Linked DNA regions of Neurospora crassa OR74A. The protein of the gene in region 2 purifies or fractionates together with the protein of the main gene of each other region. This does not show direct contact. Links are inferred from orthologs where the notes say so. Each region holds a gene or a part of one and is shown on either strand. Other genes may lie near its edges. The genes, in order: NCU00505, NCU01235, NCU07832, NCU02685, NCU00210 and NCU06622.

The links.
Region 1: the proteins of NCU01235 (region 2) and NCU00505 purify together in Saccharomyces cerevisiae (affinity purification with mass spectrometry; 4 studies listed by BioGRID). This does not show direct contact. The link is inferred for Neurospora crassa OR74A from reciprocal best matches to the Saccharomyces cerevisiae genes PRP9 and SMD1.
Region 3: the proteins of NCU01235 (region 2) and NCU07832 purify together in Saccharomyces cerevisiae (affinity purification with mass spectrometry; 3 studies listed by BioGRID). This does not show direct contact. The link is inferred for Neurospora crassa OR74A from reciprocal best matches to the Saccharomyces cerevisiae genes PRP9 and PRP8.
Region 4: the proteins of NCU01235 (region 2) and NCU02685 purify together in Saccharomyces cerevisiae (affinity purification with mass spectrometry; 3 studies listed by BioGRID). This does not show direct contact. The link is inferred for Neurospora crassa OR74A from reciprocal best matches to the Saccharomyces cerevisiae genes PRP9 and BRR2.
Region 5: the proteins of NCU01235 (region 2) and NCU00210 purify together in Saccharomyces cerevisiae (affinity purification with mass spectrometry; 4 studies listed by BioGRID). This does not show direct contact. The link is inferred for Neurospora crassa OR74A from reciprocal best matches to the Saccharomyces cerevisiae genes PRP9 and CBC2.
Region 6: the proteins of NCU01235 (region 2) and NCU06622 purify together in Saccharomyces cerevisiae (affinity purification with mass spectrometry; 6 studies listed by BioGRID, with this or other methods). This does not show direct contact. The link is inferred for Neurospora crassa OR74A from reciprocal best matches to the Saccharomyces cerevisiae genes PRP9 and LEA1.

The regions. Positions count from the first base shown.
Region 1 is NC_026501.1:8,193,209-8,196,561, reverse strand, and holds NCU00505 (small nuclear ribonucleoprotein Sm D1), read right to left. Parts: upstream 2,056-3,353; 5' UTR 1,929-2,055; coding exon 1,915-1,928; intron 1,797-1,914; exon of another isoform or gene 1,696-1,796; coding exon 1,528-1,695; intron 1,450-1,527; coding exon 1,260-1,449; 3' UTR 710-1,259; downstream 1-709. Other genes in the region: NCU00504 (hypothetical protein), read left to right, coding at 1-601; pkr1 (ER membrane protein), read right to left, coding at 2,616-3,119. UniProt on the Saccharomyces cerevisiae protein: lays a role in pre-mRNA splicing as a core component of the spliceosomal U1, U2, U4 and U5 small nuclear ribonucleoproteins (snRNPs), the building blocks of the spliceosome. Also binds telomerase RNA and is required for its accumulation.
Region 2 is NC_026505.1:3,308,926-3,312,869, forward strand, and holds NCU01235 (splicing factor 3a subunit 3), read left to right. Parts: upstream 1-1,408; 5' UTR 1,409-1,553; coding exon 1,554-1,643; intron 1,644-1,700; coding exon 1,701-3,116; 3' UTR 3,117-3,391; downstream 3,392-3,944. Other genes in the region: NCU01234 (eukaryotic initiation factor 4A-12), read right to left, coding at 1-790, 872-974; NCU01236 (GIY-YIG catalytic domain-containing protein), read left to right, coding at 3,720-3,944. UniProt on the Saccharomyces cerevisiae protein: mRNA splicing factors, PRP9, PRP11, and PRP21, are necessary for binding of the U2 snRNP to the pre-mRNA in an early step of spliceosome assembly.
Region 3 is NC_026503.1:1,009,915-1,012,948, reverse strand, and holds part of NCU07832 (pre-mRNA processing splicing factor 8), read right to left. Parts: coding exon 695-3,034; intron 618-694; coding exon 1-617. UniProt on the Saccharomyces cerevisiae protein: Functions as a scaffold that mediates the ordered assembly of spliceosomal proteins and snRNAs. Required for association of BRR2 with the spliceosomal U5 snRNP, and the subsequent assembly of the U4/U6-U5 tri-snRNP complex.
Region 4 is NC_026501.1:3,198,369-3,202,896, forward strand, and holds the start of NCU02685 (pre-mRNA splicing helicase), read right to left. Parts: upstream 2,931-4,528; 5' UTR 2,817-2,930; coding exon 1-2,816. Other genes in the region: NCU02686 (hypothetical protein), read left to right, coding at 3,784-3,982, 4,097-4,356, 4,408-4,528.
Region 5 is NC_026503.1:3,018,365-3,022,045, forward strand, and holds NCU00210 (nuclear cap binding protein subunit 2), read left to right. Parts: upstream 1-1,664; 5' UTR 1,665-1,855; coding exon 1,856-1,924; intron 1,925-2,022; coding exon 2,023-2,144; intron 2,145-2,232; coding exon 2,233-2,626; 3' UTR 2,627-3,107; downstream 3,108-3,681. Other genes in the region: NCU00209 (hypothetical protein), read right to left, coding at 1-321; NCU00211 (mitochondrial ribosomal protein subunit L31), read right to left, coding at 3,169-3,221, 3,292-3,521, 3,594-3,643.
Region 6 is NC_026504.1:1,833,343-1,837,302, forward strand, and holds NCU06622 (U2 small nuclear ribonucleoprotein A'), read left to right. Parts: upstream 1-1,420; 5' UTR 1,421-1,719; coding exon 1,720-1,798; intron 1,799-1,916; coding exon 1,917-1,957; intron 1,958-2,068; coding exon 2,069-2,329; intron 2,330-2,446; coding exon 2,447-2,581; intron 2,582-2,637; coding exon 2,638-2,880; 3' UTR 2,881-3,274; downstream 3,275-3,960. Other genes in the region: NCU06621 (hypothetical protein), read left to right, coding at 1-728; NCU06623 (hypothetical protein), read right to left, coding at 3,275-3,960. UniProt on the Saccharomyces cerevisiae protein: Involved in pre-mRNA splicing. Associates to U2 snRNA in a MSL1 dependent manner and is required for normal accumulation of U2 snRNA. Required for the spliceosome assembly and the efficient addition of U2 snRNP onto the pre-mRNA.

The DNA.
Region 1 (3,353 bases), on a different chromosome or scaffold from region 2:
TCTGATTCTAGAAGTCGGCCCCGGCTCCGGCGTAGTGATCGCCTTCCTAACCGCGCACGCCTCCACCATCTTTGGCAGCCCGCATGTCCTGTCAACCGCCATCGACGTGTCCCCCTTCGCCTGTGCCGCCACCAACCTTACCGTCTCCAAGGCCGTTTCCGAAAATACTTCCACCTCCGGTTTTTGGACATCAGCAACCCAAGGTGACCTCGTCTCCCCCTTTCGTCCCGGATCGGTAGATGTCCTAGTCTTCAACCCGCCCTACGTCCCTACGCCTGACTTGCCTGCGCCGCCACCGACAGGGTTGCAGGCACTGAAGGAGAAAACGACGTTTGAGGAAGACTCACATCTCTTGGAGTTGACGTATGCTGGAGGGAGGGATGGGATGGAGACGACGGATAGACTGATTGAGGCCTTGCCGGGGGTGTTGAGCGAGAGGGGGGTGGCGTATATTCTGCTTTGTGCGCAGAATAAGCCGGAGGAGGTCAAAGGGAGGATCAGGGTGATGGGTGGTGAAGGGAAGTGGAAGGCAGAGACGGTGGGGACTAGTGGGAGGCAGGCGGGTTGGGAGAAGTTGCAGATTGTGAGGGTTTGGAGGTGAATGGAGGGATGAGATGCTGGTGATGAGTTGAGGATGGGGAGGAAGCTGTTGAAGAGGGTGGAAGAGGGGGAAGGACGATGGTCAGTCACGTACAAGGCTCGAAAATTCTGGGGGAAATTTGGTATAGAGAGTTGCTGATTGTGCCGCCTTCTCCAGTAGGCATATATCGCCGTCTATCTGTTTTGTGATACATAAAATAGTTCATTCCGGTGGCGGTTGGGCGCGCCTTTCTCTCTCTCCCTTCCCGCTAGCAAAGTGATTTTATCCTGTCCAGAACGCCGCAACGAAATCCCAATGCTTGCCCTCTGCTCCGATCCGATGAGGGGGAGTGGTGTTTATGTGTGTAACACTCGATGCGAATGAGGTGAATCTCGAGTGTCGCTCAAGTGAAGATCTGGGATATGCTCCTCGATTTTCTGAAGCGCACTCATCGTCGATTTTGTCGTGTCGTCGCCACCGGACGTTATTTCGGGCCGGCCTTGATCTTCCCTACCAAGACGGTCAAGCCGGTCGACCGAAGGGGGCATAAAAAACCGAAAAAAATCCACCATTAACCGTAGTATAGCATCGTATCGTCTTTGAAAAAAAATCTAATTCGCACGTTTCTGTCGTCCAGGGAGACGTACGCCGTGGCCGATCCCAAAGAAACGAGATCCGCTTAGCCACGGCCACGACCGCGGCCGCGACCCATTCCCCTTCCTCTGCCACGGCCACCACGGCCACCTCTGCCGCCGGCGCTGCGGTCCGCTTCCTTTCTCGCCTTGTTCTTGGGCTTCACGGAATCATCAACTAGCAATGTATCGAGCGGCAAAGAATCGGGGAGTATGAAGTAACGGATGGTCGAGCCCCTGTAGGGTTTCAATAGTTAGTGATGCCCTCGAAAACTGAAAAGGGCCACTCCCCCTTAGTTGAAAGGGTTGATTTACCTAATGTTCATGGCATCTAGAGCCACAGCGTCCTGGCCCTTGGGGGTCATCTTGACGTTGCGAAGCGCAGTGTCCATGCGGGGTGTGACCGAGGCGATAGTGCCGTGTACAATTGTGCCGTTCTTCAACTCAATCGTCACCGTCTCGTTGGCGCATTTCATCAAAAATCTGCAGTGTTGAAGTAACGGATTCCACTTCGTCAGCCTGGTGCCCTTGGTGTTCTTTTTCTAGTAGAGCAGCATGGACGCGCGCGAACACGGGCTGGCAGCCTTGAAGGCGAGGACTCAAAGCTCAGCATGCGTCGTGCAAGAGAATAGGAATGAAGTCGGGTGGGATGGGGTATCGGGTACATGTAGCGAAGTATCAGAAAGCAAGGAGAAATCTTACCTGACCAGCTTCATCTTGACTTATTTGGACAACGCGTAATCGAATATGTGTTGTATGGAATTGGTGGTGACAAGGTCTCGATTACCAGCTTGTTACTTTGTCAATCAACAGTCGCGACGGGAGAAGGCTTGTCGAGCTTCCTTGGACGCTTGCACAACCATCCAAGCGTCAGGGTGGAGCAGATAGCCTGCCGTCGCTACGCGCCAAGATAGAGCCCGTGCTCAATCACGTGAGCCGAGCTGAACAGGCAAACGGCGGCTTGAAAGCCCCTAACCCTGGAAGTCATGGGTTTCAAGCTATCCATAAATTGCCTGCCCTGCACATGATCTGTTCATGTGCTGAGTTGAAGCAACCAGATAATTGGGGTACACGAAGATGGGCTGGCTAACTGCCACGCCGAACAACAAGGTGTTGTTTACTATGACTTTGTCTCTGAAGCTATAGCTGTAGTTGCACAGATCATGATGCCTCATGGCAGGATAAGGACTATGAAACGAACATAGGGCTTACAGCCTTCAACTGCCTCTCCTTTCATCCAATGAAGAACGAAAACAGGGTGGATGTGTAAATGCCATCGTCGCTCAACTCCAACACGAAAGCGGACCATGACACTATTTACAGGATGCCATGGTAACTTCGCTAACACGACATTCGCTTGTACGTTCTGCGTGTGGTCGGTCCCCGCTCAATCGCCAGGATATTCACTTGTCCTTTTCGTTCTCGTTCTCCGAAACCTTCTCCCACTCATCTTCCGTGCTGACGCCGCTCTTAGTGCCCAGGCTCGGTGTCTCCTCAACCACTCTGTGCTTCAGTTCTCCAATCTGCTGGATAGGCTCAACCTCATGGCTGACCGCCTCTGCAATTGACTCCTGCCTCGTGAGGCTAGCTGTCGATGTAGCTGCCTCTACTTCTGTTTCGCTGTCTTCCGATGTGACTGGAGTTGGCGCTGCTTCTTTGGCTCTTCTCGCCTTTTCCTCTTCTTGGATTTGGTGCACCTTCAGTTCCGCCGCGAACCAGTTGATGGATCCCCAGAGTCCACCGCAGAGAGCCGAGAGAATTACGAAGTGGATACTCCATGTCGCAAAGAGGAGGCACGCCAGGACAATTTGCAGAGCGGCAAATGTGACATTTGTCGCGATAAGGAGGGTGGGAGTCGGCCCCGGAGTGAAGATCGACTCCCAGAGATTTGTAACGAAGGATGTCATTGGGAAGATTAGGCTGGCGCTATGTCGGCGTTGAAAAGTTTGACCGTGAAGGTATGTCGTGTAGAGGAAAATTCTTGTTGTCGATTCGTGTTCAGGACGATGCGCCGTGGAAGCGATGCGGACAAACGAAGAGACAAACTCGCAGTAAAGTCAATGGTTCGTAGTGGATGACTACAGTCGAAGAGAGGGTTAGTCACGGCCTCACAACCTTTATAAATGACGAGGGACAGAAGG
Region 2 (3,944 bases):
TCGCCGTGCATGCTGCTGACAGTGAAGTTGGCTTCGCGCATCTTATCGGTCAACCAGTCGACCTTCCGGCGGGTGTTGCAGAAAATAACGGCTTGTGTAATAGTCAGAGTGTCGTAGAGATCGCAAAGAGTGTCGAACTTCCAGTCCTCCTTCTCCACAGCAATAAAATACTGCTTCAAACCCTCGAGGGTCAACTCGTCACGCTTGACCAAGATACGAACAGGGTCGGTCATGAACTTGGTGGTCATGTCGAGCACATCATAAGGGAGGGTGGCAGAGACGACGACGACTTGTGTGGCAGGCGGAAGATAGCGGTACACATCGTAGATCTGCTCGCGGAAACCCTGGTTGAGGAGCTCATCGGCTTCATCGAGAACCAGCATCTTGATGTGTCTGGTGCGGAGATGACGGCGGCGAATCATGTCGGCAACACGACCAGGAGTGCCAGAGACAATGTGTTGACCATAGTCGAGCTTGCGAATATCCTCGCCAACGTTGGTGCCACCAATGCAAGCATGGCATTGGACGTTCATGTAATCTCCCAAAGCCATCACAACGCTCTGAATCTGGGTCGCAAGTTCGCGGGTCGGGGAAAGGACGAGGGCCTGGGTCTCGCGCACGGCGGTGTCGATGACCTGAAGCATAGAGATCGAGAAAGTGGCTGTTTTACCGGTACCGGACTGGGCCTGGGCGATGGTATCGCGACCCTTGCAGATCTGAACGATGGCGCGGGACTGGACAGCAGAGGGGGACTCATATCCGTAGGCGTAGATGCCGCGAAGGAGACTCTCTGTTTTGAGAACCAGTTAGTTTCAATCCAATTCACTAAGCCACAGCAACCATGAAATACATGCGATGCGACAAGACTTACCCTTCAAGGACATCGACTCGAAAGTCGGATGAACCGTTACCTCCTTGGAGGTGGAGAACTGAATCTTTTCATCGGCCTTGCGATCGATTCCGCCGTCAGCCATGGTGGGCGATTCTGTCGATGGATCGGGTATGTTTCTGAGGTGTGTCAGGGCCGAGGACGCGATGTTGTGGGTGCGGATGTTGACGATGCGGTTCGACCGGAGTGTTGACTTCGTTATTGGAAATTATTTGCACCCGAGACAAAAACAGTCCACTGTACCGAAAGCGCGACAGTGATTGACGATGGATGCGATGTCGACGTGTGGCGTGCACTGGAGTGGAGCTTTCCCGTTGTCAAAAAAAGTTGCCAAGATGACAAGCCTTCAGGTCGGCAGAATGTCGGCCAACCTTATTTAATGGAACGACGGGGGATCTGTGACAGGGCAGTTGGTGGATTTCGCTAAGGACTTGCCGGGGAGTTCTTTGCCTGCCGCGACGTGTTTCTCTGCTGTTCTTTCTGGACTTCGTACACGGAAGCAACTGGTGGCGCCGAAAAAGCACGTTTCAACAACCTCTCTTCTAGAAATCATCCTAGTTTTCCAATTCGCAATTCTGCACCCCGACACGACAAGTCCGGCTCTTCTACGCGCATTTTCACTTCTTCTTGAATAGGGGAATTCGCGGGTGTCACATTGGTCAACATGTTGATAGAAGAGCAGAGATACATTCACGAGGATCTCGAACGCCTCGAGCAGGGTATCGCGGACCGTTTGCGCGACGAGCCAAAACAGGCATGTTTCCTCCACGCGAAGTATCTCTCAAGACCTTCTGTGCTGACACATTCTTAGATTCATGAACGTCTTAATCGTGACCATGAGATATCCCAACTCCTCGATCAGATTCAACACCAGTCCCGTGAGCTTCTTCCCCTATACGAGGACAAGACTGGAGTGCGCTCCAAGGAAATCCAGCAGATTGGCAGTGGTGACCCCTTCGAGGAATTCTACAAACAAGTAGCCACTATCAAGGAACACCACTCGCGGTACCCAAATGAGCAAGCCGAGAACTCGGAAAACTGGTACCGGCCGCGGAAGCATGGCGACGATCAGCCATTTTTGGTGGAAAGCATGTTCTCGGGCGAAGAGGCATACGGCCGTTTCTTCGATTTGCACGCCAGCCACGAATCCTACCTCAACCTTCCCAATGTGAAGCGACTCCCGTATATGCAGTATCTTGAAGTTTTTGACAACTTCCAACCCGGTTATGGTGGAGTCAAGCGGGCCGACAAGTTGACCGATCAATATTTCAAGTACCTCGGCGAGTTGATGGAGTATCTGGAATCCTTCATTCGACGTACGCGACCACTCGAAAATCTCGAAAAGGTGTTTGGTGGCTGGGACAAGGAATTCGATTCGGCTTGGGAAAAGGACGAAATTGAAGGCTGGCGCAAGGAGAAACTGGCGGCCAACGGCTCTGCGACAGACCGCACTCTGAGCAGCGCTGACGCGGTTTGGTGCGAGGCATGCGAGAAGGAGTTCAAGAACGAAAACGTTTACAAGAACCATCTTACCGGCAGGAAGCACATCAAGGCCGCTGAGGTGTTGGCGGCGATTCACGGAGAGTCGGCCAACGGTACATCAAACGGCACGGTTGCCCCGCTAGCGCATCGCCTCAAGGAACGGGCGGTCGCTGAGAGGGAGTACCGCATCAAGAAGCTCGCCAGCGCTATGAAGACGGAGCGGGACGACACAAGAGTGAACGTTGAACGTAGGCAAGGCATGACGGAGCGTGAGCGGCAACAAGAGTTGGAGAATCTCTACAACACCACGTTCAGAAGGCAGGCTAAGGAGGCTGAGGAAGACGAGGATGATGGCGGAGATGATAAGATTTACAATCCGCTCAAGCTACCGCTGGCTTGGGACGGAAAGCCGATTCCCTTCTGGCTCTACAGGTTGCATGGTCTGGGTCAAGAGTTTCCCTGCGAGATCTGTGGCAACTTTGTCTACCGCGGCCGGCGTGCTTTTGACAAGCACTTCAACGAAACAAATCACATCACCAACCTGAAGCGTCTGGGTATCACAAACACACATCTGTTCCGAGACATCACGTCTATAGAGGAGGCGGTGAGGCTTTGGAACAAGATCCAAGGTGACTCGAGAAAGACCAACGTGGATGAGGGCTCGATCGTGCAGATGGAGGACGCTGAGGGTAATGTCATGCCTGAGAAGGTATATCTTGATCTGCAGAAGCAGGGTCTGCTTTGAGAGGTTTTAAGAGGATGGATGAGCAAGGTCAAAACACCCCTCTGAGACATTAACATAATACCCCAAAGTCCTCCCCGTCCAAAACAGAACTATGAATTCGGACTACTACATAAACCAATACATAGACAGCAAGATTGTTCGACATTTCATCCTGTAGACTCAACAGAGCAGCCAAGGGCTTAGAAAGCTTGGGCCCACCAAAGTGGGGTATGGCGAAGTCAAGGGCGTGAAATAATTGGGCAGCCATTCCGGGTACTGCGGCCATGAATAAACAACATCTTGTAAACAAAGACGGCAACTTCCACTTCTTCACTGTCACCAATTTTCATCACGTATAAACTTGGTTACCCTTTGCCTTTTGCACCTCGAAAATACCACAATCGCCCAATGGGTGCAATCAACGAATGTTCGGTACTTCTTGGCGACTGTCCTGACTGACGCGACACTCGGTTCACATCTAATTCATTATCAAGCACATCGTCCACCGGGAAATTCCCAAAAGAAACAAGGTCTTGACTGCAAATGACAACAAGCCAAACGTCACGACAACCTCACCTATAGAAAACATTTCCAATTCCCTCCCAATAGGGGAAAACAGAAACGATGTCTACCACCACCACCCAAATCCAACCCAAACCCATCCCCGCCCTCTACACAGTCTACATCCTCCGCTCCCAGCCCCGACACGCTTCCCTCTACATCGGCTCCACGCCTCACCCACCCCGGCGCCTCTCACAACACAACGGGCTCGCCAAGGGTGGCGCCTATCGCACTTCGAAAATATCTCTTCGGCCATGGAACATGGTCTGTCTGGTCTCCGGTTTTCCG
Region 3 (3,034 bases), on a different chromosome or scaffold from region 2:
CATAGCCTGCTGGATCAAGAGCTTCAAGCCTGGGAAGTATTGACCGTAGGCAGAGTACAAGTTGTAAGCCAGATCGATGCCAATCATGAGACCGGTAGGAGATGGGTAAAGACTCATGCTGTCGGTGGTGTAGTCCAGATACTTGGCCCTGACGTATCTCTCAATATCGTGAGAGTCGTAGTCACCATAGCGAAGCTGAACATCAATCCAAAACTTGTTCGTCGTAGTAGACTCGATGACATCCTTGGTATCGAAAAGGAGCGATGGGCGAGTAACGTTCCATTTGTGGCTGGCAAAGAGCTGGATATCCGCGCAGGAGCTGTTCATCTTGTAAGATTTTCTGGGATGAATGGTTTCCTTTTGAACCGATTCGATGCTTAGAGCCTCAAGCTCCTGATCGAAGACCTGGCAAAGATCCATGACCACTGACTCGTGGATCTTCTGCCACAGATGAGCTCGGAAGATCTGGATCAGGGAGATCTTGAGAGTAGGAATCTTGCCGTGCAAGAAGATACCAGTTAGATCCAACTGCACTTGGAAACCGACGTAGACATTGGCTCTGTTGATGGTAGGCGACCACCAAAGCGTGAAACGACGATTAGGAATCTGGTTGAGACCTGCGTATTTCAAAGTCAGTATTTGTGCGTGCATATGATGATGAATTCATGCTAGAGAAATGGTATGTTGAACTTACCGCTCCTCTGGGCATTTGTCAACTTCTTGAACTTCATCGACTCCTCGAAACCACTGGCCTTCTCCCAGAAGAGACCTTCCCAAGACGGGAAACCAGTTGCCTTGAACAAGGTATGCTCCAAGATGGTTTCGACACCACCAAGCGCCTGGATGACATCGGTACGGTATGCGTTAAGGTTCCAAAGTTTACCGTCATGCCTCTGGCTTGTCCACCAGAAGGGATTGCTCTTCATCAACTGATAGATCTTGAACTCGGAACGGGCACGGAAACCCTTGTCGAAGCTTAACGTGCTACGGTCCTTTTGAAAAAGAGTGTTTATACGGGGCAGACCGCGATCCCAGCTGTCCTCCAGATCCTCTAGGGTCAATCTGCGGTTCTGCTGGTTGGCCTCGAGACGCTTCTGCGAGTATTCCGTCCACACACGCTGGGAGTCGATAAACTCAGCTTCCCACGGGATGATGTAGCGGAAGATGTTGGGGATCAGCGTTTCCTCATCGTGCGACATGCCCGCACGGTAATGAGTAACTCCGAGATCTGTCTGTTTAGACCAGCGCTTGTCGCTAGTAGGGATAAGGATGTGTGATCCGGAAATCATACCCAAGCCACCAAGCTCCTTGGGAGTGTAGAAAACGGCAGGAGGGAAACGGGAAGGCATCTTGGAGTTGAGACCAATTTTGACACGAGTCTGGATTTTGGTTTCACACTTGACAATCGTGTCAAGCAGGTTCACGGTCGAAACAGCAGCCTCGCGGTAGTAAGTAAAGAGGGCAATCAGCGCCGTGTTCCACTTGTTAGCAATCTTGGTGAATGTGGTCGAGCCAGACGACATGAGAATCTGACGGATCCTGTTATTGAATTTCTGAATGTCCTCTTCGGTAACTTGTAGGAAAGCGTGAGCGGTGCGTTCCTTGGTCGTGTTGTCCACTAGTGACCAGACACTGTCTTTCACAGGGAACTCATCGTTCTGGTTGCGGATCTTGGGCAAGATGCGCACTTCGAAGCCGCACATGGAGAACAGGAGGTTCGGGTTATCCCTGCTGTACACGCTGGCGAAGGTGTCTTCCCATTCAATCGTCGTCACGGATCTTGGGAGGCGGTTCTTGAGATCCCAGAACACAGCTCTGCCGAGGTTGACGTCGTGCCTCATGAGACGCATACGCGAATCTCTGGGCCAGCACTTCTTGCTCTTGTAACCAATCACGTTCTCGAAGTTGGGATCAGGCTGCTCTGTCAAGAATCGCTGGATCAGGTCGCGAGATTCATCCGCGGTGAACCTCAAGAACACCCAGATCTTGTCGATGTACCTGGTGTACAACCTAATCGGGTGTCTTGTTTCAGTCTCCCGGTCCTTGAACTGAAGGAAGTCATTGGGTGCGTGGGGAGGACCGGCAATCTCGCTGGCACGCTGCGGGCCAAGCAACAGCAAATCGAGAATGAGACCATAGTACTGGAAAACGAAGGCTGAGAACTGCAGGCCACGAATCATACCATAGCTGTTGACATGGTTCATGTCCTTGTAAGTTAGGGTAACGTTATTCTTGGCCGTGATGTAGTCCGCAAGGTTGTGGTCCATTATCAACCGAAGAAGCGAGTTGAGCAAGGTCAGCTCAATCTTCTCGTAGACCTTGGAGAGCTGCGTCTCGATCATGACATTGCACTCGCCATTCGCGGTCTCCCAAACCCTGTCGAGGTTGTTAATGCCTTGAGCCCACTTGTACACAAGCAAAGGTGGCACCTCCGAATCGGAAGGCTTAATCCAAGCGGGGAACAGATGGCGCTGGTCAGCTTGATACCACAAGTACTGGTCGAGATAAGCATCGCTAATCTTCTCGATCGGTTCAATATCATAGACCGGGTTGATGGTGCTGTAGTTGTCGTTCATATCGATGCCGACTTCCTTGAAAGCTCTTTGAGTGAGTAGGAAGCGTTTGATACGCTCGAGGGTAGTGCCTGGACTGTCATATGCCTGCTCAATCAAGGCCAACTCCTCACGCTGACTCTGGTTCAATCTTCCCTTGGTCGAGTAAGCCTCACGTAGGCGCTCCAGCGCCAAGATAAGGATCTTGGTGTCATGCTTGTAAGACACACTGGGGAAGGGGATGGGAGAGAATTTTCTCGATTCAAGCCAGTGCACCGTAGTAGTGTAAATGGCAACAGCCTCCTCAGAAGAGACGTAGGGACCATCCTTCATGTGGTTGTGCTGGCGTTCTTGCTCGGCCTTGAGCCACAGACGCGTTAGGCGGCCAACGTTCTTCTTAGCAACGGTCTTATCGACGGTGGCACCCCGACGAATACGCTCCCGGTTGTAATGAGCAACCGAAATCCACCAATCGGCCTTGG
Region 4 (4,528 bases), on a different chromosome or scaffold from region 2:
AACTGCTGGTTAAGGAGCGAAAGGTAGTACTGCATCTCTCCCTGGGTGGTGATGATGATACCTTCACCATAGGTGTCGAACTGAGGACGACCGGCACGACCAAGCATCTGCAGCACATCCTGAGGACTGAGCTCAACCCAGCTACCTTTTTCAGGCGAGTACACTTGCGTGCCCTTGATGATGACGGTATGGGCTGGAAGGTTGACACCCCAAGCAAGAGTGGCTGTGCACACAAGAACCTGGATATGGCCACTGGCAAACAAATCTTCGACGTCGGTACGATCAGCACGACTCATACCAGCATGATGGATACCGAAGCCATAGGGCAAGATATCCTTCAGATCGGTGTTGTTGACAGAGTTGGAGGCTTCGCTCAGGACTTCACGGGTTCCGGCGTCGTGCTTCAAGATCTGGTTGATGGTGTCCATTTCCAAAGCCTTGTCCCTGATGTACCTGGCGGTCTTTGCCGTTTCCTTTCTGGAATGGACAAAGATGAGCATCTGATTGCGATTCTGTCCTACGTGCTCCAAGACCTTTTGGTAGGTGATATCATTCATGGTCTTTAACTGCTTGATGGCCTTTCTGTCCGTGACGCCGATAAACTCTTGACGGAGGGGGCAAGGGCGGAAGGTACCATCGAAGTGGAAGAGCCCGGTGTTCGTATCCACACGCAGGAAGCTCGCTACGTCGCGGTAGTTGGGCAGAGTGGCAGACAAGCCCACAATGCGAACAGGCTCACCGGTCTGCTCTGTCTTGCGGATGGTTCTGGCGACAATGCTTTCAAGCACAGGACCACGGTCATCGTGAAGGAGATGGATCTCGTCAATAATAATCAGGCGGACCAGGTTGGTGTAGGAGAGATCAGTAGCCTTTCTCGTGATGACATCCCATTTTTCGGGGGTCGTAACGATAATCTGCGTTTCCGAGATCTGTTGCTTAGTAAGTTGCCGATCGCCAGTGAGTTCGGCCACCCTGATACCGAATGGTTCGAGACGCTTTCCGAAGTTGCCGACCTGTTCTTGAACAAGGGCTTTCAAGGGCGCGATATAGACGATCTTGAAGGCGTCCAGGTCGATCTCGCCGGCTTCGTTTCTATGCTTCCCGATCTCACGAAGGATGGTGAGCATCGCCACGTTGGTCTTGCCAGAGCCCGTCGGAGCACAGACAAGCATGTTTCCATCATCACCAAAGGCAGTAGGATAGCACTTTGACTGAATCTTGTTTAACGATTTGGCCGTGCTGAAAGGTATCTGAGCCCACTCAGGCATTTCAGAAATCGGGACATGGGCGTCGCTGGGGTCGTTGCGCTTCTTTGGTGGGGGCACATGGATTTCTTCATAGCCCTTGAAGGTGCGCTTTGTCGAGCCCTCGGGAAGTCGTACTTTGGGATTGGTCATAAGGTGGTTACCCTGATCGAATATGAGGTTCTCCAGGTTTATTAACTTGCGTGGCTGCAGACCTCCGACTAGCTGTCCCTCGGGACGCTCAGGCTTTTGGCCTTCCTTATCAGCAAAGGCCCCCGAGTCAATGTCCATCTTGATGTCCATCTTGATCTTCTTCTGGCCGCCGTCGGTCTTGCCTTCCAGCTCGTCCAGAATCCAACGCAGACCCTCAGAAGCCATCTCCCGCTTGATCGTATTTCTCTCCTCCTCATTCTCAGCTCTGGCCAGCCGAGTAAGCCATACGACCTTCTCCCGGTTAGCAATGAGTTTTTGCACAAGCTCGTGGTGTTCGTAATCAAAAAGCTCCATCAAGTCGTTTTCGATGTCGCGGAGCTGCTTTTCTTCACCACCTGGCTCATCGGGCTCGCCGGAAAGAGTCTTGAGCGCAGACATTGTCTTATCATGCTGGATATGTGCGTCGGGATATAGCCGGCCAATCTGGCGTTGTAACCAGAACGCATCGATATCTCTGGCGGGTATGGAATTGTCGTCAGACCCGCTTTTCTTCCCTTCCGGTGCTGAATCGATGACCATGGCCTCGCCGTTCAGAATATCTTCGACCACCTCCTCCTGACCTCCTTCACCATCGACCACCTCGTTGCTGTCAGGCAGCTCTTCATCCTCCGCAAAATCCTCCTCATCGGAAGATTCGTCCCGAACAACATCAACCATGCCATCATCATCTTCATCGTTCTCGAAGTTGACCGCAACACCCTGGCGACCGTCAATCTCGTCGTCGCCTTCTTGCCTAGCATCGCCCGCATCCTCGTCTTCATCTTGAGCGTCGTAATCCGTGATCTTTTTGCCGAGATTTATGAGCTCGTTGAACTGCTTGGGCCCCATCGAGACTCCAAGAATATCATCAACCTCCTTCTTCTTGTCAAAATCCTTCAGGTCGTCATCCTTGAGATATTCGAGAACCGCGTCAGCAGCACTGCGAACGACCTCATGGGGCACGTCGCCCAAGTGTTCGGCGACAATGGTGAGGATAAGGTTGAAGGCATCGCGCGTCGGCTGCGTTCGAGGGCGGTAGCGGAGACCTTCGATAAGCGCGTCGGCGCCAGTAAGAATACCTCCACCTCTTGTAGCGGACTCGAGTTTGCCCTTCTTCTTCTCTCGTTGCAGGATATCAGCACCTTCCCTTAGACTGCCCCGCTCGACGTCGGGCATGGCGCCCGCCTTCTTGGGCTTTGGTGCTGAGTCGCGAGCGACTCTGGAGCCCATATCTTTGATGGACAGACGCCCGGCTAGGGACTCGGGGTCTCCCGTGGCCTCATCGGTACGCCTCGTGACGAAACGACGGTCCGCCTGGAGAACCAGGTTGGACATGGCCGAGTATTTATATTGCGACACATCGCGGTGGTGGTCCGTCATCTTGCCAGCTCGGAGAAGAAAAAAAGAAATCTATGAAATGTTTTGAGGTATACGTCAAGATCGAAGTAGAGGTCGTAGCGGATGGAAGAGTCTCGATCTGGTGATATCTTCAACTCGGCCTTTGGGGATAAAATGTGCTTGTTCTTGCGTGCACGCAGTGGCGATAAATTAGCCCGAGCCCGGCCCGAACCAAGCGTTGGTTTTGCTGGCTGATAAGTAGTATTTCGCCGGTCGCATCGATGGGTAGATCAAGAATCTGGGGTCGGGCGGAAACAGAGATGATGGGTTTCCGACAGAAGTCTGTCGCGGTTGTCGCGAAAGGAAGGTTGGAGTTTGGCGTTCAGTTTGGAAAGGTTGAGCCAGAGGCGTGGTTCTTGCCAGCCAGCAGGAACTTACTTGGCTTGGTAGGGGTGGCAAGCGGTGCAGAGATAGGTGTGGCTCCAGTCATGACGGCTGGAAATTTTTATGCAATGCTGCCGTCGTCGACTCTCATTGGCTGCCTGGACAGCACGTAAACACACTGAACAGCTGGAGCTTGACCTTGCTGTCAGGGCGGTGTTAGTGCATAGGCGGAGACCCCGTGGGGTGTGTAGAGGTTGGTCAAGGTGCACTAACAAACATCCTAAAGGTGGTAGGCACAATCATCAACACGATCTCAACCCATCGAGCAACTCGAGATAGGTGGCAGAAGTCTGATCCATGGGCTCCGACTTCTACGATACCTCTTTTTCATACCACCAAGAGGGACGAATCGTATTACTTCACGAGCTATTTGAACAATCATTTGAATGCTGGAAACTGAGATACCTCTGGTTCATACCACGCTCTCTTATGTCCGTCCTGCTCACATCGGGCTGAGCTCATCGATGATCACAGTCATTCACAATTTGACCAATAAGCTGTTTTATGCCTTGATATGAAAAGAAGCCAATACTGATAGACAGGTCAAGTTGGAATTATCTACACGATGGATTCCTTTCGAGAAACGCTAGAAGCTGTTCAGAAGGTGCTGCAACCATACACCAGGCCTCGCGAGGAAGCCGCCCATATCAGACGGATCTTGACACTTCACCTCAGTTCGGGCTTGAAAGACGGAGCAACGCTGACAGAACCGTTGTCTCTCACCGAGTCAAGTGAAGTACCCTCCTACTCACAAGATACTAGAGGTCTGTATAGGGAATTCCTCGAAGCATTGCGCGCGAACATCAAAGCCCGCAAAGAATACCACACACTCTCACAAAAGCGCAGTCATCATGAGGTTTCTGTCCCTCAACCAACAGAAATACAGTCTAACTACCTTCTCAACCATCTTACCAACCTCAAAATACAAAAGAAGCAAGAGAAACTGTTAGTGGTCAAGAAAAACCTTGACCTCTTGAGGCAGAAGCCGGCGGCATCACCGGATTTCCTAGACCACCAGAAACTTTTCAGAGTTTGCAGACCGCTACCTGAGGTTCCAACCGAGATTATCAACTCTCTAGCGCTCGAGGAAACGTCGGAGAACATCACCGCATCTAGCAGTGTCCGGCTCGAGGACCTTGTAAAGACACTCGAACACCGTACCTTCCAAACGAAACTGTCACTTAAACAGGAAGAGACCCTCCTCGAGAACGCGAAATCCCACCCCTTCACCGTGCAGCCGGATGAAATCAACCCAGAAGCAAAGCTTCAAGCATTAAATGCCACTCGTACTGAGCTGATCAACTGGGTCG
Region 5 (3,681 bases), on a different chromosome or scaffold from region 2:
ACGGCTTGTCTCCTCATCGTAAACCTCAAAGGAGCTATCGGAGCTATCTCCGTTGAGGTGGCTTGCGGAGCCGGTCCGTGACTGTTGGGCCTCCCAGGCGTCTTTGAGATCGGCAAGATCTCCCCATCTGATTTCCCTTCCTCTGGCAACAAAGACCTCGTTTCCTCGGTGTGCGATGGTGCGATTGGGTCCCTGACTGGCGTTCCTGGAGGAAGCTATCGAAGCGGGGAGCCGGTTGGTTTCCTCGGCCTGCTCAAAGAGCTTATGGCCGGGGTTTGGCTCCTGGAGCCAGGGCGCCGAGAAGCTCCGGATTTTGGGCATCCCGACTGTGCTTGGTGGTTTTGTGCTAAGAGCTGTCTGTTGTCGCTATACTATCCAACTCGAGCCTGATGAATCCTACAGATGACGGTGGTTCGTGTGGCGCAATGAAAACCGAAGTTGGTGTCTGGCTAGGCAGAAATAGTAGCTTGTGTTGAGGTCCTGCTATGTCCTAGCATGCACGGGCCGGTTTTTGTCGTCGTGCTGCACTTCGCTTTCTCTGCTGAAGTAATGTATGTAGGTGGGGAGGTAATTGGCTATGTAGGTAGGCAGGCGCACTATGGTCGAGGTACGTATGTATTTGATGTACCGGTACTATTAATGTGATGGCGGTTCTCGGTTTTTGAAGATGAAAAAAAAAAAAAAAAAAGGTGATCAAGAGCAAGTAGAACAGAAGCCAAGGGAGGGAAGACAAGGAGAGAGATTGGGATCCCTTTTTGAAGTGGCAGGCCCCTCGATCGATCCCATGGGAGAAAAAGCCAGGAAAGCGAAGTTTGCTAGTGGTCTCGGTTGGCTGGTCAGGATGGTAACAACAAGGTTTGACTAGCGTGTAGTGCTACGGACCTGATGGATGCCCGTGGATGGACGAGTGCTGGATGCCACTATTGTCCAGTCCGAGCCAGTGCTGTAAATGAGGCGTCCAGGGCGTCACTAGAGGCGTCCGCTTCCGTGCCTATGCCGTATATTTTCCGTTGCTTGCCTTGATCGATCGTGTTAGCTTCATTTTAGCGCGTTTCCACTCCTTCCACAGCCCTTTAGTCCGTTTCAACTGTCCGCCGGTGTTCAGTCCAGACCGTGCTCGCCGCCTCGTCTCACACCATCGGTCATTGATCAACAGGAGACAGGCAGGCCGCCCGGGATGAGAGGGGATGGAATGGCCGAATGGAGGTCTTAACGGAGACCTAGCTGTATACATACTATAAATGGTAAGCCCGAGGTAGGTACAGTTGTGCTGTGACGCGCCTGTAAATTGGGTGCCAGATTGCGGTCCAATCGGCTGGCAATGGTTGTTGGATCAACGACAAAGCGCCTCCACCAAGTCCTCCTGCCCTTGCTTCCATCGCTCTGCCCTTGCCTGCCGTCGTCATATTTGCGGGCACCTCGTAAGATAGGGTACCTGACCCACCACCAACGGCTTCCGTCGCCCGTTACAGTGCCAAGACTACCTGGATTGCCATGCAGTGATGTCCGATGCACTGTGACACTGTGCGCCAACAGGACTAAGTGTAACTGACCTGAGCTGAACTGAACTGTGAACGAAGCCTGCAGTGCTGCTGTCGCGGTACACGGGCACACCAGTCGCGCTCAGAAAGTAGCTGCGCCTGTACTTCCACTTTAGCGGGCAACCTAAGTTACCTCTTAGGTAGGTCCAATTCCATTGGCAAGGGAAACCACTGCATCATCCCCATCGACGTCTCAGAACTCCAAACCATTGAACTTCCACTTGGGCTGACAGCTTTTGATTTTCCTTCTTCTTCGCAGTTGCAGGGCACCTTTCACCCAAGAGCAGATAATCCATCTTCACTACCAGGTAACCATGTTGAACACTCGCCAAAGGAGCACCGTAGAGCGCCTTGACAGGCCAAGTGCATACTTTTTCAACAAGGTGAGTGCTCCTGACGGCATTTCCATGCCCAAACATTGCCAATCTCTCCTGTCCATAATTAGCACCCCGTCGACCGCTGACCCATCCACTCAACACAGAATAGGCGCAACAGACGTCACGACCGGGACCACCGCGATGGAGAAAACGAAGACAGTAACATGCATCCCGAAGCGTTCGATGACCCGTTGAAGGATGCGACCACGCTCTACGTCGGCAATCTGCAAGTTTGCCCCACGCTGCCAGTCCTTAATTAAAAAAATCAAAAAAAAATCAAAAGAAACAAGAACTAACCGAATGTACCTCGGCAGTTCCTTCTACACTACCGAAGAACAGGTTTACGAACTCTTTAGCAAATGCGGCGAGATCAAGCGCTTGGTCATGGGCCTCGATCGCTTACAAAAGACACCGTGCGGTTTCTGCTTCGTCGAATACTACACCCATCAGGACGCTCTCGATTGCATGAAGTACATTGGCGGCACCAAGTTGGACGAGCGCATCATCCGAACCGATCTCGACCCAGGCTTCGAGGAAGGGCGACAGTACGGCCGTGGAAAGTCGGGCGGCCAAGTTCGTGATGAGTACCGTGAGGACTACGACGAGGGCCGCGGTGGTCTTGGCCGGCAAATCCAGGCCGAGAGAATGAGGGAGCATGACCACAAGCGCTACGACGATAACGACGAACAATACGGCCGCTTGCGCTAGAGTTGTCATTGCATGGGAGTTACGTGGGACAATGAGGGAGTGCATCATGATCCAGTGCACAGATATTCAACCAGTCGTCATGACAAATCGACACAAAATATGCAAGCCGGCTCTGAAATTACGAATTTTGTTCATTCAGGGCAAGTGGAGGCGGAACAGAGAAGCGTAAAAGACAAATACCCCCTTGGAAGACATGATATTCGTTGTTGTATTGGTATCTTGCTATGGTATTTCGGGAAATTATTGATTTCCCATCCATTCGGTATGGCTCCACACATTCTTCTGTGATGCTCGCCTGGCCGTGTTTGCGCTGCTCTCTGCAGTGGTATCTCAACATGGAGCGAGCAGGAGTGTCCATGATGGACAGGACCTCCAAGTCAGTCAGTCTCTTTGCGAGACGAGACAGGAGGCCTCCTCTTCTTTGCCCCAAGCAAACGGTCCTGTTAGCGGTATCTCCAATGTCACCCATGCCATTTCGCTGCGTAATGTTACAAGTGATATACATGCTTGCACGATATCGTCCATCGTCCGGGTCGAAGGTCTTAGTAACCGGGAGGGTTGACTCTCTGGGACACACGGGTCCACTTGGGAAGCTCTGGAAAAGGAATGCCGTATTAGCCTTGGTCTTTGACTGCTGTGAAGTGATGCACAAGGGTGGCCCGTACTGTGGATGCCCTTGCGGTACCTCTTCTCCTTGCGGTCGAAGATGGTGTACTTGTCCTTGGGCAGCATCTCGGCCTCGGTGGGCATCTCAGCCCTCCAGCGTTCCACCGCCTTGACGGTCTCACCCTTCTTGGCAAGAGCGTTCTCAATGGTGGCGACGACGTTGTCAACGGCCCTCAGTCTGCGGCGCTGCCTGAGCTTCTGGAACTTGGACATGCGCCATGGGATCTTCCTGTTTGCCGCGACATGATTAGCATTTCCGGTAGAACCTTTGGCGCAACTGCAACATAGGGTAGTCGCTTACCAAAGAAGACCCCCGGAGAGGGGGTTGGTGAATCTGAAAGCCCCAAACATTGTGGTGGTGGTGGTGGATGTTTGGGGGGGGAGAGCTG
Region 6 (3,960 bases), on a different chromosome or scaffold from region 2:
CGCTTCCGGAGGCCCAAGCCCCGGTCGAGACCCAGGTCGAGCTTGAAACCGAGCGCCGCTTATCAGCTTCAACTCCGAAAGAGGCGAGCGTTGAAGCGGCAGCAGAAGAACCGGTTCCGGAACATTCGCCCCGGGCCTCCCCTCTTAGAGCGGCCGTCACTCGAGCTGCGCCGACACCAGCCAAACTAAACAAGTCTCTTCCTCCGCCGCCATCTGAGTCCCCAGATCACCTGTCTCAGCCGCTTGCTACACCTCAGGCACCTACAGTCGCGAGTGTACCTCAAGAACAGCCAAGCGTCTACCGCTCGCCTTCAATGCAATCCTCGAATGCAGAGAACCGACCCCCATCGCCGAAGCAAATGACCCCAATAGTCGAACGTCATGCTCTAGCACCAATGGCTACCACACCGGACAGGCCCACTTCTCCTTCCAAACGGACGATTCTGGGTGCCCTTCAAAGCACTAAGCCTTGGACCGCGGCAGATCTAGACAATATATTCTCGCCCAACAAGAACGACTACGATAAGGAAGACGGCATTGACAAACTCTTGCACAAGGGCAGTGAGCTCACGAGCCCGGAAAAGCGGATGACCGTGGAGGAGTGGATCTATCATAATGCCAACTTGGCTGAGCAGAGATTGAAGAGGGAATGCGAGGAGATGGTCCTGCTGTTTGAGAAGCAGGGTGCCAGAGCGATGGAAGCTTTGGAGGGGCTTATCGTCGAGTAGTGAGTGAGTGGCACGACCCTTGGGCACCAAATTATCAGCATAAAAGGACGAGAGGTGTGGATTCGCATACTAAATCCCGCTTCTGGTTCAAGGTCGGGCAAATTCTGTGTGTGTGTGATACCAGGTAATGGACATGGAACTTGCGTGATGCGTTACATAGCAAGCTTATTGTGTCAGTGACTTTGGCTTCTGGTTTGAGTAGCATGGAAGGCGTCATTCGACGTCCGGTTAGACGATGTAGGGATAGCATTGTTGGTGACGTTACAATGGAATTGCACAATAGTGTGCATCATAACGAAACAAGCCCTAAAGTTACAGCTGCAGGTTCTTTAGATGATGCCGGGTTGGGGATCTGGACTAAAGAGCGAGTGTGATGAAAGTGGTTTTGGTTTTTCCATAGCGGGCGGTTAGTGGTTGTGAAAGCGTTTACACCAAGAAGTAGAACGAAAACTTGACAGCAACCTGGCGAGATAGCGAGTAAGAAACATTTTAGGCCAACAAGAGGGCAGAAAATGAACATATAATATCTGACTCTAGTACCCTAGTCTTTCAGACACAAACCGTGTCGACTCTGTTTAGGAGCTCCGTGTGGTTGCGACTTGCAAGTAATCCGACGCGCAAGGGTTAGGGTTACTACATCGTCCGTTTTTTTTTTGCGGCGCTGTCCATGACTTCATTGGGGCAGGCAGCCTTGTCAATCTACTTTGGTAACTTCACTACAGCCACCAATTACGAACCACGCGACGCGCTTCAACCTTTTGCTTCTTTAGTTGACTTCCATCAATTTCAATCTCGAAGGCGAACACAGGACATACGGCAATTCTCCTGGCTGTAATCAATAATTAATCACCTGTTTGCAAAGCCCCTTTGCGCCGCCGTATTACAAAAGCACCACCAGCAACAACCATCACAAGGTACCGACCGGCATCGCAGTAGTAGTAGCAGCGACAGCTCGACAGCTCCCCGTCGTCGTTGCACTCCCGTCGTCACAATGAGGCTGACGGCAGACCTTATCAACAACTCCCTTTCCTATCTCAATCCGCTTAAGGAGCGAGAGATAGACCTCCGAGGTGCGTTCCATCGAGAAGAGCAGATACTGCACGGTTGATCTTCAAGTTTCCAAAAGCGCGTACAAAGAACAGAGTTGATATATCGAAAACCTATGTTGGGTTGGGATACATGCAATAGGACACAGAATACCTGCTATTGAGAACTTGGGCGTTGCTGGGGTAAGTTTCTCCCTTCTCCTGGTTCTTCCTCTACTGCTAGTCCTGCTACTGGTAGCCCGTTTCAACCAAATTACCAATTAATGCAGTTTGCTAATCCGGTCGCTACTACAGCCCCACGATGCCATTGATTTCACCGACAACGATATCCAAGTGCTGGGCAACTTCCCGCTCTCTCCCCGCATACGCACCCTCCTGCTCGCCCGCAACAGGATCGCCCAGATCCAGTCGACCCTACCGAATGCGACCCCGAACCTGAAGAACCTCGTCCTGGCGTCCAATAATATTGGCGAGCTGGCGGATTTGGAGGTGTTGGGAAGGTTTCCAAGGCTTACGCACTTGGTCTTGACGGACAACCCCGTTACCAAGAAGGAGGTACGTCACACAACGCCCTTTCGTCGCCCAGTGTTATGCGGCTGAGAGAGAATCGGAGACGGGGGTGGCAAATGGAATGAATGTACGGAATGGCTGACAATGTTTGTCGACACACAGAACTACCGCTACTGGGTCCTCTGGCTGTGCCCTCAGGTTCGCTTTCTCGATTACGTCAAGGTCAAGGACGCCGAGAGGCAGAAGGCGAAGGAGCTGTTTGGAACCGCTGATGAGCCGACGGAGTTGGCCAAGACGGTATGTACCTTGTCTTCTTTTTCAATGTCATGACAACCCTGCTAACATGCAAACAGATAAAGGGAATCAAGAGCAAGACCTTTGACGTTGGCGCCAGCTCCGCCAACGGTGCGGCCGGCAGTGGTCCTTCCTCGAAACTTTCGCGTCTCAAGCTCACAGAGAAAGAGAAGAAGAAGTTGCAGGATCTGATCAAGAAGGCCGACAGCTTGGAGGAAATCATCAGATTGGAGAAGGCGCTCAACGAGGGACGGCTGCCACCTGGCATTATCGCCGAGGATGACGATGCCATGGAGGAGTAAGGAGGAACCAAGGTGACGGGCACCTGACGAACGTGGTAGATCAGGTTGCTATATGTTCGTGATATGATGGCTTGCAGAGGTGACGAAAAGGGGGAGGACGGCACTTCAAAGAGCTTACCATTTGTCGGCGTTCGGTTCTAGATGGGGCTTACTGCAAAATAACTGTATACCAAATTGCGCAAATTTGCTGGGTTGAAACAGAGATAGTGAAACATGATAGTGGTGTCATGATTTCACCGCAGCAATCGGAGCGGCCTTGAGGAAAGGGACGTTAGGACGAGCATATCAAGGGCCCATGGTCTTTGATTCGGCAACTCTACACCTCTTAACGTCTTGTACTCGCCCGGATATTCAACACGTCTATTCGGCTCTGTATGTATGGACAGTCACTCAACTAACCCGTCATATCCACATCCCCATCATGACCCCGATACTGCTGTGACGCCGCCTGCCTCATCTCCATCTGCAACTGCGCGCTGGGATCCTCGTCCGACGTAGTAGCTGGCGGTGATGCCGACAAGATACCCCTATTCATGCCGCTCATCACACCAGGAGTAGAACTAAATGGTCGTCCCGAAGCCGACGACATGCCCACCACACCCGTCGTGACACCCATATTGGTAATACCGGTATTAACCCCGCCAGCACCGAGTCCATTCACCGGCGCCGCCAGCCCTCCAATGCTTCCACTAGCACCGCTTCCTGTACCAGCAGGCAACCCCCCATTCATAGACATCAAGATGGACGTTTGCTGCAACCCGCCGGACCCCTTTTGCTTCTTGGCATTCGGCAGCATCGCCATCCTATCCCGCTCATCTCCATGATCACCCACTTGTCCCTGCTCCAAAGATAGCATAACCCCCTCGGGAGCTGCCAGTCCTCCCATAACCGGTCCAGGCGCCAAAACGACCGCGGCGGCGGTCCCCGCAGGAGGAACCACAACGTCGCTCCCGCCCTTGACGCGGGCCCGGGCGGCCGCTGCTTGCGCCTTGATGGCTTTGTAGGAAGAAGTCTTGGGCACCACGTCCTCAAGGAACTCGAGATTGTCGTGGTGGGAGACGGCAGCGGCCACGTCCTTGT